3 linked regions of the Coturnix japonica genome follow. The protein of the gene in region 3 interacts with the protein of the main gene of each other region in a pairwise test. Links are inferred from orthologs where the notes say so. Each region holds a gene or a part of one and is shown on either strand. Other genes may lie near its edges.

Region 1 (3,577 bases), about 11 Mb from region 3:
TTGAGCCCTATGAACATTGTGCCAACTCCTCTGCTGGTGAAAATGGTCATCTCTCATGGCACTGAAGTCCACACAGCTGTGTAGATTTTAATGCCAACCACGAACCTAACTCAGTTGCTGAGGATATTTGTTAAGGTTTTCTGCTCTACTAACATAAGCAAGACAAAACTACTTAGAACAGGACTACTTCCTTCCAAGAATGTTCCCCTAAGCCTTCATCGGCCTTTGTTCCTCTCCACTTCCCATTTGTTCCTCCTTAAGCAAAGAGAAAGTTTATCATTTTTCTTTTTCTGGAAAGGAAACAAGTTTTCTTACCTGTCTAACCGTAACTGGCAAGTTGTTCGCAATATGTCAACTATGCCCTCATTCTTCAACTGTTTACAACAGACACTAGTTGCAATAAAGCAGCCCGTCCTCCCGATGCCTGCACTAAGGGAGGAAAAAGGAGAGAGAGGCAGCAAAGATGTTAGAACGGCTTTGGAACTTTCATGTTAAACAAATGCCCTTCAACCACAGTCAAACTCTATTATCTCTTTCCTCCCTCCAAACTCTGATGGATGGGTGCTCTTGAATATGAAGCCTTAACTAAGGAAAGATAATAGCTCCAATGGAACAACACCATTCACACTGTGAGCCACTCACACAGAAAGGCTTCAGCTTTCTCTACTGCACATAGAGTGATAAAAATGGACTATGTGGGTACTGCCTCACGTAATGTCATTGAACTTGTAAAAATAAACAGTTAAGTACTGTTCCTTGGTTAGACGTGCTTTGAAGGCAACCATTGCTTTGAGAGCAACCTTTGCTTTGAGATTCTTAACCCTAACAGCTTCTTGGAAACTATTTTCATTCATATGTACAGTTAAAAACTCTAGCTTAAATTATTGGAGCTGACAGCAATATGATAAGTATGATTACATTTGCTCTCAAATCTGCATTCTAGTAACTCTATGAATTAGTAAAGAGATATAAGAAATGCACCAAAAATCATCTCGTGAACACTTTTGTATTTGATTCAGCCTTTACTATGTGACCAGAACCGATTTGAGTCTGAGATGGCACAGTGCTATGAAAGCTGTGTATTCTTATCACCTTATAAAAAACTAAACAGCAAATTCTGACAGACCTTCTTATACATTAGATAATTGTAATTACCTGTAAGAAATCCTGCTTTCATTTAAATTGTGCTCAAGTCACAACACAAAAACACTGGCAACAAATATACAAGCAACAATGGAGCCTGCAGAGAGCTGCTGCTAGCAAACTCTTTTAACACTATTTTTCTTTGAGTGCATAGACTTTTAATTTAGTGTTTATAGTTGTTAGGAAAACCAAACTAGTATCAGATACATTAGAATTATTTTAATTATTATTACAGAATGATTGAGGCAATTCAATGGAGATTTGCTGGATGAGTGTACTCCTGAAGAGCTGATCTCAGTCTTCAAGTAACTGTGATGGTAATATTTACATGATCTAAAGATTTCCTAGAAAATGTCATGCAAAATTAGGTGAAATTCCTTACAGAAACTCCAAAGGCATGTTTGGCAAAATGTACTTTTACTGAAATTATGGAAAATTATCCTGATAGCATTAGTACATTACATACCAGACTTCTCTTTATTTATCTGCAGTAACTGTTTTGAGAATTGAGTTGTGGTATTCAAGTAATCACATTTAATCTTCCTAAATACTAGCAAAACAAGACTTGTTTTTAGTCCTCTTTGAAAATGTATATATATTATTATTTTAGGTTCTCATTTTTTTCTGCTTTCATGCATCTTCCTACTCAGTTTCACCCACAGTATGTTTAGTTTTGGTAAAGTGGCACTTTTAAGATCATCAAATGCATATATTTCTGGTAAAGCAAATGAAACAAGGGGGTTGTTACTTAAAACTAAGCAAACAACAACAACAGCTTCTGTCTGCAGCTCAATCTGTATCTGCATGCAACAGAAAAATGTCATTAAATTTTAGAAGTTCCAAGAAAATTTAAAGCATTTGGACCAGATCTCCTTCACATCTCTGACCAATGGTTCAACATGGCAGCATCTAAAGCAGGCTACTGTATGCAAACAAAGCAGTCCTTAGAGTTTGCATACAATGCTTATTCACCTGCAGTGAACAATCACTGGAGCGTTCTTCTCTTCTGCACTCTGCATTGCCTCTTCCACTTCCAATACTAGTTGTAACAGAGGAGGAGCCTGATCTGGTGTCTTCTGGTCTGGCCAAGATGTGTACCAGTAATGTTTCAGGTTTCTGACTTCTTCTCCTTTCTGCAGTGCAGTTAAGACAAACATCACAAAGGTTTTTTCAAAATTCCAATTTTAAAGTCATGCTGAAAATTAAACTTTCAGAATAAGATGAGTAAACCTATGCTAAAGGAAACAACAGATGCAAATGACAAACCACATAGCACAGAAATCTGGACTTCAAAGACTGCATCTACACTTCAGCAAACTGCTTCAAAAAATAATAAATCCCCCCCCCCCCTTCCCTGAAGTACTCTGCTCTTTTAGCGCCAAGAGCTGTGTGCAAAACAGTCTGTTCCCTCTTGACAGATTCATTCAGCAGAGCTGGAGCTGTACTTGTGACATAATTGCTTTCATAATGTATTTGACAGGCGGAGAGCCAGGAACCATATCTTTGTCTTTGATAGCTAGCTAGCTAGATGAGGGATAAGAGATAGGAAATTATTTTTCTCTCTTTTCTGACAGACAGACTCTTACCAGTTTCCTGTCACTTACACTCCTCTCTTAGACATGGTGACAGATTCAGAGACACTGGAAGGCGAGAATTATATCTAGCTGCAGTCCGGGGCTTCTTATGAGATACGTCTGATTCCCTCCCTCTGAGTTCCAAGCACGGTCATGAATATAGAGAATGTGCCTTTTACCTTTTCTGAGTGCCAAGCAGCACTCAGTGCTTCTGGTTCTGTTCAAAGTGACATCCTTTTGCATGATTTCTAAAGGTGCCAAACAGTAACATACAGCTCAAGGAATCTGTCTTACTCATTCAGTCCTTGTATAAATCCTTTGGCACAGGACTACACAAAATATCTTCACAAGATCCAGAAAGTTATGTGTTAGTTTCCACCTTTCCTCAGACACATGGCCAAATAAGTTTAGGATGGGTAGGGGTGGGAGGAGAACAGAAAATTTGACACAGAGAACTGGAAATAGTTTTTGTCATCTAGACTCTAAAGTCCCTATGACTTTCAGTCAATGGATGATGAAAGTGCTCCATGACTGCCACCTTCCATCCTTCTCCTGGGCTGGAGAAACTCTGCATAGCTTCACTGTTAATCTAGATTAGGGAAATTATCTAATTAAAGATTCTTTTTCAAATGGATCAACTTTCCCCTTTGGCTTAAGACACAATTAAAATGTGACCAGTTTTGTGAGTTACCAGCATTCCATCAGAATTAAGCTGTATATTGTTCTTGCTGCTACACTGTACGTTTGGGATAATTTCTATTTTAGGCCAGGACAAGTCTGCAGCAGACCTGTAACTATTATTTACTTCCTGTTTGTTGGAAACCATGATTTTTTCCTTGCTACTTTCACTAAAAGCATGA
Region 2 (4,288 bases), on a different chromosome or scaffold from region 3:
CAGCACAGCACACGGTGCTGCCAAGTGCTGCAGGGCTCAGCCATGGACACAGCTCGCCAGCAGCGCCATAAGGGGCATGTTGCACTCAGAAGTGGCCCCTCTTCTTTCTAGGGCAGGAAGATATTTAGCAGCAATCACAACACATCAGCTGCATCAGCTCCAGCACAGAACCTGCTCGGGCTGAGCAGAATGAAGTGCAGCTCTTCTTCTCACCCCAATACTTCGGCACACTCCAAAGTGAAAGTGCTCAACGATCACATTGCTTCTGCCCCGGAAAAGCAAACACAATACACAGAAATCTAATGGTTAAAGGCCATCGCTACCCAAAGCACCAAGTTCAAGTTAAAGGGGAGATTTATGTGCCGGTTTTTTTAAATAAGTCAACTTTAATCAACTTATCTTCTGAATATCATTTAGCTTTATCTACCTTACCTCAGGTCATTTTTTATTCCTGCCAGTTAATCTAAAATACCTGCTAGCTCATTTTAACTCCACTATTCTAACAGGCCACGATGGATGAAGGCACCCAAAAGGAAGAGATACCATTTCTAGAAGCACCTTTGGAACAGAACTGCTGAAGGACACCAGCATTTCTAACTAAGTGCACCAGAGCCATTCCCCAGCCACATACATTATTTTCTGGGAGTTAATTACTATGAGAAATACACCTACGTGTGTGCACTAATAGACACTGTCAGTTTGGGGGACGTCCCTTCCACTCTGCTGAATTTTAAGTTTTCATTTGTGGTTGGGAAAAACAATCCTTCACGGTATCATCATTATTTTCTCCTACACACATGGAGCCAATACAACTACAGAACACACAAGCTTCTTATGTTTGCAAACATTATTTTTTCCTCAAGTCCAGGGCTGAATTTCCCTTCAAATGAACTATCGCAATGTTCTTCATAAACAATAAACATCGACATAAAGTACAAGATAAAAATAACCTTCAAAGATGCTTTTAACTGCAAAGTATTTGCTTGCTCTCATAGAAGCAGAGGAGGAATCAGACTGTACATCAGCAGCAGTGGAAGGAAGGCAGGAGGTGGCAGCCAGAGACAGGAAGCGCCAAGGAAGGGAGATCCAGAGCCAGCAGCAGTTCAGCAAGGAACGAGAAAAACTGTTTCCAAGGGAAGAAATAAAAGGCAGGAAGGTGGGAAATGTTTTCCTGTCCAGAGCTTTGGCAGCAAATGTATGTACATACACACGCATTCATCACGGATGGGCCACTCAGTGTAAGCAAATTACAAGCTAGAAGACAAGTTGAAATCCGAAGTGTAACCAGGGCGGGAGCACGTTGGGTGTCTGAACGCTTGTAGCAACAGAACCACAGAGCAGCCGTCAGCTTCCCCTCCTGTCATTAGCAATGCTGTACGTGAGATAAAAGCATGTAATATAGCATACCTGCCACAGCTATGCTTTAAAATTCATTAGTTTGACATTCTTTGTGCAGACTTCAAGGGTCTAATTTATTTGTTTCTAAAAGCAAGCTTTAATTTGGATGGAACGAAGTAACGCAGTGTTTTCAATGACAACGCTGCATTCCTGACCTAGAGAGTCAGCCACTGCTCGTCTCATTAATTATACAAACACTCGTGCAGTAACTATTACATCTAGAATACAGCTCTGTGGGTAAATAGGGAACTCTACAACAAAAGTCAGCTGTAACAAGCTGGTAAACTCTTAAAAGGTGAATTTGGCACCAGGTAGCTGTGACCCTAAGCCAGTTCCAGTCAGACCCAGGGAGTTTGGTGCTGCCAACAGCTCAATGCACCCAAGCTAAACCAGTAACAGAAATGTTTGAGGTCCACAATACCCCCCTCTATCACTAGTGTAGAAGCCCAAGATTGCATTATGGATAAGAAATATAAGAGATTAAATGACACACAGGGAATATTTCCCACTTAAAGGTCACTGTCGTGGTGAAGCGTGGCAGAACGAGTGCTCGGAAAACAGAACAGGCTGAGCCGCAGCCCCAGCGTTGATTCATGGGGCTGAGCGGCGCCTCCCGAGCAGCTCTCGGTTCCGATGGAGGTAACAGCGCCGGCAGCGCAACCCAACAGCCACAGCTTCCAACTATCCATCCCAGTGAAGCCGGGACACGACGCCGTGCTCCAACAGCCCGACCGGCGTGGCAGCAGCTCTGTGACACCAGCCCCAGCTCCATCAGCCCAGCTCTGTATCCACAGAATGGCCTGGGATGGATGGACCTCAAGGATCATCAGGCTCCAACCCCCCTGCTGCAGGAAGGGCCACCTCCAGCTCTGTGCCCAGCTCCATCAGCCCAGCTCTGTATCCAGCTCTGTGCCCAGCTCCATCAGCCCAGCTCTGTGCCCAGCTCCGTGCCCCCCGAGCTGACGGAGGAGCCCACAGCAGCGTCCTGACACAGCCCCAGCCCGGGGTCCCCTCCCGCGGGCCACAGCCGCCCCAAACACCGCTGTGCGAGGTAGTTCCTAAACGAGCAGGTTTCCAACGTAAAGAAATACATCAACAACCACCGAGGTAACCGGGCACACGGAGGGATCGCTGAGGGCCAACCAGCAGAACGGCGCCTGCGCCCTCCGGCCGCGCTCGCTGCGGGCACCCGGCGGGGCTGTGAGGGAACGCGGCCGCTCAGCGCCGCCCGGGGCCGCAGCCGGCACAGCGCCCAGCCCGGCCCGCAGCCCCGCAGCCCCGGGACACCGCGGGTTCGGCCCCCCCGCCTCCCGCTGCCGCTGTTCGCGTCCCGCAGCCCGGCCGCCTCCTCTCACCTCCCCGCACCGCCAGCCCCGCACGGCGCCGCCGCTCCTCTCAGCGCGCACAGCTGCGCATGCGCTACAGCGCAACGGCCGCGACGTTCGAAAGTCAACGGTCGGCGCTGGGGGCGGGAACAGCGCGACCACCACAGGAACGGGAGGCGGAACGGAGCTGCTTACACAGCACGACTGCACCCGGGGTGCTAACAATGGTCTGACAGAAGAAATACAGATAGCTCATGTACACCACGCCACAAATCTGAGCTGGAATTATCGGGTTTTAGCAGTTCTTTGCACTGCCTGAATCATTTCAATCACCATCTTCCCTTCGATCACAGGTGGCCCCATCCACTGCCATGATGCTCAGTAAGACCCACCTGAGGAGAAACCCAGGCAGCTTCAGCCAGGTTGTCACGGGTTAGAATAAACACAGCGACTCCATTACAACCAATAATGGCATTTCTTTATGGAAATTGAGTTTCCAGCCACTCTTCTGTAGGTACTAAAGCAACGTTAACTCTTTCAATAAACCTTCAGAGTTTCACTCTGGCAGTGGCTAAAACTCGCTATTACCAAGAGTTTGTAAACTCAACACATTTTCTGCTACTAAGTTCCCTTTCATAAAGTCTATTTGATCCAGATGCATGACTTCTGTAATTGCTTCCAGCCTTGTGACCGGCATTCCTGCCAGTAATTTGGTGACATGCAGAGCTGAGGAAACGTTTATAGTTAAAAGTGGCAAAGCCTACAAGTATTAACATGAAGACATTCTTAATTATAAAACAGCAGAAGTAATTCAGCAGTTTAAGCAATAAACTATACGATAGGAACTGTTAACAAATACAGGCAGATTTTTTTGCTTTCAGGAAGAAAACACGGCTCTGCTTTCTTCCTTCCACATCCATGGCATTTCTGACCCCATGAGATTGTGTAGAAGAGGATTCCTCACTGAGGACATCAGCTGCTGTTACTCAGGACTAAGTTATCACAGCTGCAATTTGATTTTAATTTAAATAACAAGACCAACTCATTGCATGACCAAACAGCAGGAACAGACAACTTACCAGGGCTACTTGTGATCCACCAGCTGACACAGCCTCATGCATCCAACAAGTGGCCCTCCTAGACTGAAAGCCTTCACACAGTCAGGGCTATTCCACATCCAGGAATGGGAGAGAAAGAAATAGGGTCAACTTCTTTTAGGCTGTTTGTTCAGATGAAGCTTAGTTTCCTTCACAGAGCTATTCCTCCTAGTTAAACCAGCTAATTCCAGCCCTAAAACCACAGGCAGTTCTTTGTCTTACAATGCTGCTCCTTGGAATTAAGCTCCTACCTGGAATAGCTTACACTAGAAATTAACTTTTGACCTTTCATTGATTTATTAAACCTCTACTATATTAAATACGGCTTAGCAGCTCTTTGTACTTCAAAATACTGAAATGAGGCTAATGTACACCCCACCTCTGCATGTTTATTTTTATTAGAGCTGACCTGGGATTAAGAAGTTACCAACTGCATGATGACAATCTCAATATCACAGAGCAGCATTC
Region 3 (4,091 bases):
GGATTAAAGTAGAAACACTGTAAGCAATACATCTGAAACATTATCATAATCACAGAAGCTTTAAATACAGTTTCTATCAGATGCTCACACTCTGTTCATTTTCTGTGGAAAAGATTCCGTATTTCATATCCCCTTGACTTCCAGGGCCCAGTCCCAAATCTGTGCTTCTCATCTCCCTCTGGAACATGGAGAGGTCCCTTCTGTATGCCCGGATTTTGCTCATCATTTGATTGCGGAATGGTAGAGGAGCATACTTCAGTTCTTCTTCCATTTCCCGGAGCTTAAAGAAAAGAACACTTATTTTAAAGCATCACATTCATTCTTATAAACAGCTGTACCCAGAACTTACACTAGATGAAGGGATTCACATATTATGTTCACATAAGAACATTAAAGTAAAACTTGGGATACTGTCCTTTCTAGGGCAATCAACATATTAAGTGGCCAGAAAGGCCACAATTCCAGGCTTAAACTTACCGTTTCATTTGCTTCACGCTGCTTCTCATCAAACTCCCGAATCAGCTTTTTCTTCTCCTCTGCACAAGAAAGAGCAACACGTGAGATAAACCCCAACAAAACTAAAGCAGAACTTGAAATCCTGATTTCCAGCAAATCGGGTTTTTGCATCCTAGCAGTTCACTAAAAACAACCACTCAAATAAGACAAGCACCCTGCAGAGCTCTGAGATGGAAGACACCATCAATACACCAGATCAGGTTGTCCAAATACTTCTCTTTTCTGGAACCACACTGGATGTTAGATCAAAACACCTAAAACCAGCTCATCTTATGGATGTGCCGTGGCCACACCAGGGCCCTTCCCTTTCAGTTCAAATCCCCATTAAGCCCCTGAGTTTGACTTGTAGTGCACTTAAGATAGATAAGTTTAAACATAAGTTTAGCGCTGCAGGAAATGCTGATTTATGGGGTTCCTACATTGACTATCCTCAGCTCCTCCCCTGCTTTTCTGCCACGTACATTTGTGCTGATTCAACTGCTTGAACAGCCAGGCTGCTAGCAAGGACACGGGCACACACAGCAAGGAAACAACTTTCTAAAGTCACCATTCTGCTCACGCAGGACACTCCACTCCTTTGGTGAATGTAGTGCCCTCTTAGAACAACTGCTGCTGTCTCGAACCCATTGAAACCCGAAGCAGTGCTGAAAAAGCAGTATTTTACCCTCTTTGGGTGCCCACAATTGGATCAGTACAGCACTGCACTTCAGCCACAGAAACATTACCCACATGTTTCTCAGCATCTGTGAGATCTCATTTAAACCAACCGAAAAACAATCAGTTGAAAAAGGCAGTTAACTGTTTACTCAGAGAATGGGATCTATAGCAGAAACTGATCAATGCCATTTAAAATGCTTTCTTATAGGTTTGGAAGGAAGAAAACACTTGCTTCCAGACCTGAGAATTTATTAGCTTGTAAGATAACATTTCCACATGGAAGATGGTCCAACAATGACACATTTTGTCCTCCCTGCAGTCTGGGAAGTTACCAATCATCTCAAAGGAGTACACAGGACACCATCTGTTGTCCCACAGACTTTTCATGACAGTGTGAAAAATGAAGACCCATGTGGGCATGGACAGCAAAGAATGCCTTACAAATGCCTTCAAAAGAGAGATAAATTCCTGACTTCACATGAACTCCCTTGTTATACTTCCTTGGGAATATCACAGATCTGGGGACCTGGCAATAGTTTACTTTTGTCCACAAAACTGACAACCCTCCTTTCTGCAAGGAAATTTCTGTTCTTTGAAATTCAAGCGTTGTGGGGCATTTTTCAATATGTGTGAGCACGGTCTCTCCCCATTCTTTCCCCAGCAACAGGGTTGAGTTTGTATTTCAAGGCAGCAAAATAACCCTCACCCTACCCTGCAACCTCCTCCCATTAATTGTATAGAAACGATGCCCAGATTCCAGGGCCCTTCTTCACAAAGGGGCATCCCTTCCTTTATGCTTTTCCTTCTTGGTGACTGTCAATAAAACAAAGGCAGCTTTGAATCACAGAACTGCAGGGTTTGGAAAGGACCCCAGGGGATCACCCTGTCCAACCCACTGTTAAAGCCAGTTCCCTGCAGGTCACCAAGGAAAGCATCCAGGAGGGTCCTGAATATCACTGGAGGAGACTCCACAGCTTCTGTGAGCAGCCTGCTCTGCCTTCTGGCCTTGAAAGCTGCGGCCCATAGTTTTAAGTGCCTCCCACTGTACTTTCTGGAAACGAATAGGATGGTGACCCTGCATTTAACCCGGTATTAGACTGAACCGGGCAGCCCGGACACCGCACCCCTCACACCCAGCCGGTGCTTCCCCGCCTCCGCGCCCACTTCCCGTTCTCCGCTACGCCACAGCCGAGCGCTGTGCGCCGGGAGCGGAGCCAAACGAGCCCCTCGGCTCGGGCAGCGCCGGGCCGGACCGCGGGGCCTCGCCGCGCTGCGGGAGAAACCTCCGCGAACCCGACGAAAGCGCCGAGCCGGATCCGCCCCGCCTCACCCGCCGCGCCGCCCCGCAGCCGCTCCGGCACGGCGCGCAGCTCCCCGTGCAGCCCGCGGAAGATCTCGTGCAGCCGCTCCAGGTGCTCGGAGGACGCGGGGCCGCGCTCCGCCATGGCGATGGGCCGTACGGGGCACTGCCCGGCGCCGCTTCCGCCATCGGCCGCGAGGACCCGCGCCTGCGCAATGAGACGCCCCGCGCTGCCTGACCGCGGCACCGGGGCAGCCCAGGCGGAGCGGGGTCCTGGCGGCGCGCTGCCCGCTGGGAGCCGTAGTCGCAGCGCCGCCTCGTGGTGCTCCGCCCCGCCCCGCCCTGCACCGCCCATTGCTCCCATTGGGGCGGGGCGGCTCCTCCGGGCGCGATCAGTGCGGGGCGGACGCGGCGCGGATGGAGCCGTCGGCGATGCTGAGCTGCTGGGGCGCGGTGCTGGGCGCCGCCGTGTCCGTGCCCCTCGTGCTGCTGGCGGCGGCGCCCTACGTCAGGTGCGGGGCTGTGGGGCGCCTCGGGGGGCTCCGTGCCGCCGGGCTAAGCGGCTCCTTTCTGGGGGTTGGAGACATACAAAGGGCTTTCGGGCAGCGCTGTTACGGCGGTGTGCGGTTGGCGGCAGCCGGCTCGAGCCGCTCCCGCGGGGGGTCCGGCTCAGCCGAGCACGGGGCGGTGGGAGCCGGTGGCCCGGGTTCGCCCCACGGCGCCGCGCCGACTCCATTGGCCGCCGCGCCGGGAGCCGCGCTGTCAGCCAATGGCAGCCGTGGCCCCACCGGAGCGGGCGGAGCGGGCGGAGCGGGGTGTCGCGGTGCCCGGTCCGATGTCGGGCTCGGAGCCGCCGTCGAGTCCCGCCGCTCTCTTGCAGGCGGTACGTGGCCGGAGGGCGCTGCGGGTCCGCGGCCAGGCTGGACGGGAAGGTGGCGGTGATCACGGGCGCCAACACCGGCATCGGCAAAGAGACCGCCAGGGAGCTCGCCCGGAGAGGCAAGTCGGCGTCACGCTGCGAGCGGGTGCGGCTGATGCGATCCGGCACCACGCGTCGTGGTCTGCAGCCTGGGGCCGTGTTTCTAAGAGCCACATTCTGAAGGTCCTTCAGACAGGGCTGTAACCCCTGAGGTGCAGTTCCCCAGTTCCCAGCTGCATTCACTGCTTGAACCCTGACCCCGTGTCTCAGCGTGTAGAAATACTCAGCGCTGTGGCCACCTCGGGAGGACCAAGGAAGTGCCTGGAGTCACAGGGCTCTACCTTGTTTGGGGATGGGAAATGGCTCAGATCCGCTCATGGTTCAAAACTGGCTTAAATGTTTTTTGGTAACTAGCAGGGCAGTGAAAGTACCCAGCAATGGCTCTGGCTGGAGTCCAAGCAACCCTGCGTGTGTAGGCCCTAGTGCTCCCATACAGCCACAAATACAACCTGGTCATACCAGGGCTGCAGTGCACTCACCTCACCTGGGAGAAGCTGGACAGAGGCACTTCAGATGTGCAATCTCCCTGTCATAAAACAGGTCTGAGCTGGCTTGGAGCTAACAATCTACAACAAGAGTTGTTGTGCTTGTCAGCTGCTCCCCTGGACTGAAGTCAGTTCCATAGGACACAATACATTG

What was found.
Region 1: the proteins of VTI1B (region 3) and PTPN5 interact in binary tests that used the Homo sapiens proteins (3 or more experiments, as listed by UniProt). The two-hybrid records come from large-scale screens. The link is inferred for Coturnix japonica from reciprocal best matches to the Homo sapiens genes VTI1B and PTPN5.
Region 2: the proteins of VTI1B (region 3) and TRIM59 interact in binary tests that used the Homo sapiens proteins (3 or more experiments, as listed by UniProt). The two-hybrid records come from large-scale screens. The link is inferred for Coturnix japonica from reciprocal best matches to the Homo sapiens genes VTI1B and TRIM59.

The regions. Positions count from the first base shown.
Region 1 is NC_029520.1:16,692,542-16,696,118, reverse strand, and holds part of PTPN5 (tyrosine-protein phosphatase non-receptor type 5), read right to left. Parts: intron 2,277-3,577; coding exon 2,116-2,276; intron 430-2,115; coding exon 316-429; intron 1-315. UniProt on the Homo sapiens protein: May regulate the activity of several effector molecules involved in synaptic plasticity and neuronal cell survival, including MAPKs, Src family kinases and NMDA receptors.
Region 2 is NC_029524.1:19,665,767-19,670,054, reverse strand, and holds the start of TRIM59 (tripartite motif-containing protein 59), read right to left. Parts: upstream 2,864-4,288; 5' UTR 2,754-2,863; intron 1,111-2,753; exon of another isoform or gene 951-1,110; intron 879-950; exon of another isoform or gene 1-878. UniProt on the Homo sapiens protein: E3 ubiquitin ligase involved in different processes such as development and immune response. Serves as a negative regulator for innate immune signaling pathways by suppressing RLR-induced activation of IRF3/7 and NF-kappa-B via interaction with adapter ECSIT.
Region 3 is NC_029520.1:27,588,979-27,593,069, reverse strand, and holds the start of VTI1B (vesicle transport through interaction with t-SNAREs homolog 1B), read right to left. Parts: upstream 2,844-4,091; 5' UTR 2,838-2,843; coding exon 2,504-2,837; intron 537-2,503; coding exon 478-536; intron 281-477; coding exon 89-280; intron 1-88. Other genes in the region: retinol dehydrogenase 12, read left to right, coding at 2,891-2,985, 3,354-3,472. UniProt on the Homo sapiens protein: V-SNARE that mediates vesicle transport pathways through interactions with t-SNAREs on the target membrane. These interactions are proposed to mediate aspects of the specificity of vesicle trafficking and to promote fusion of the lipid bilayers.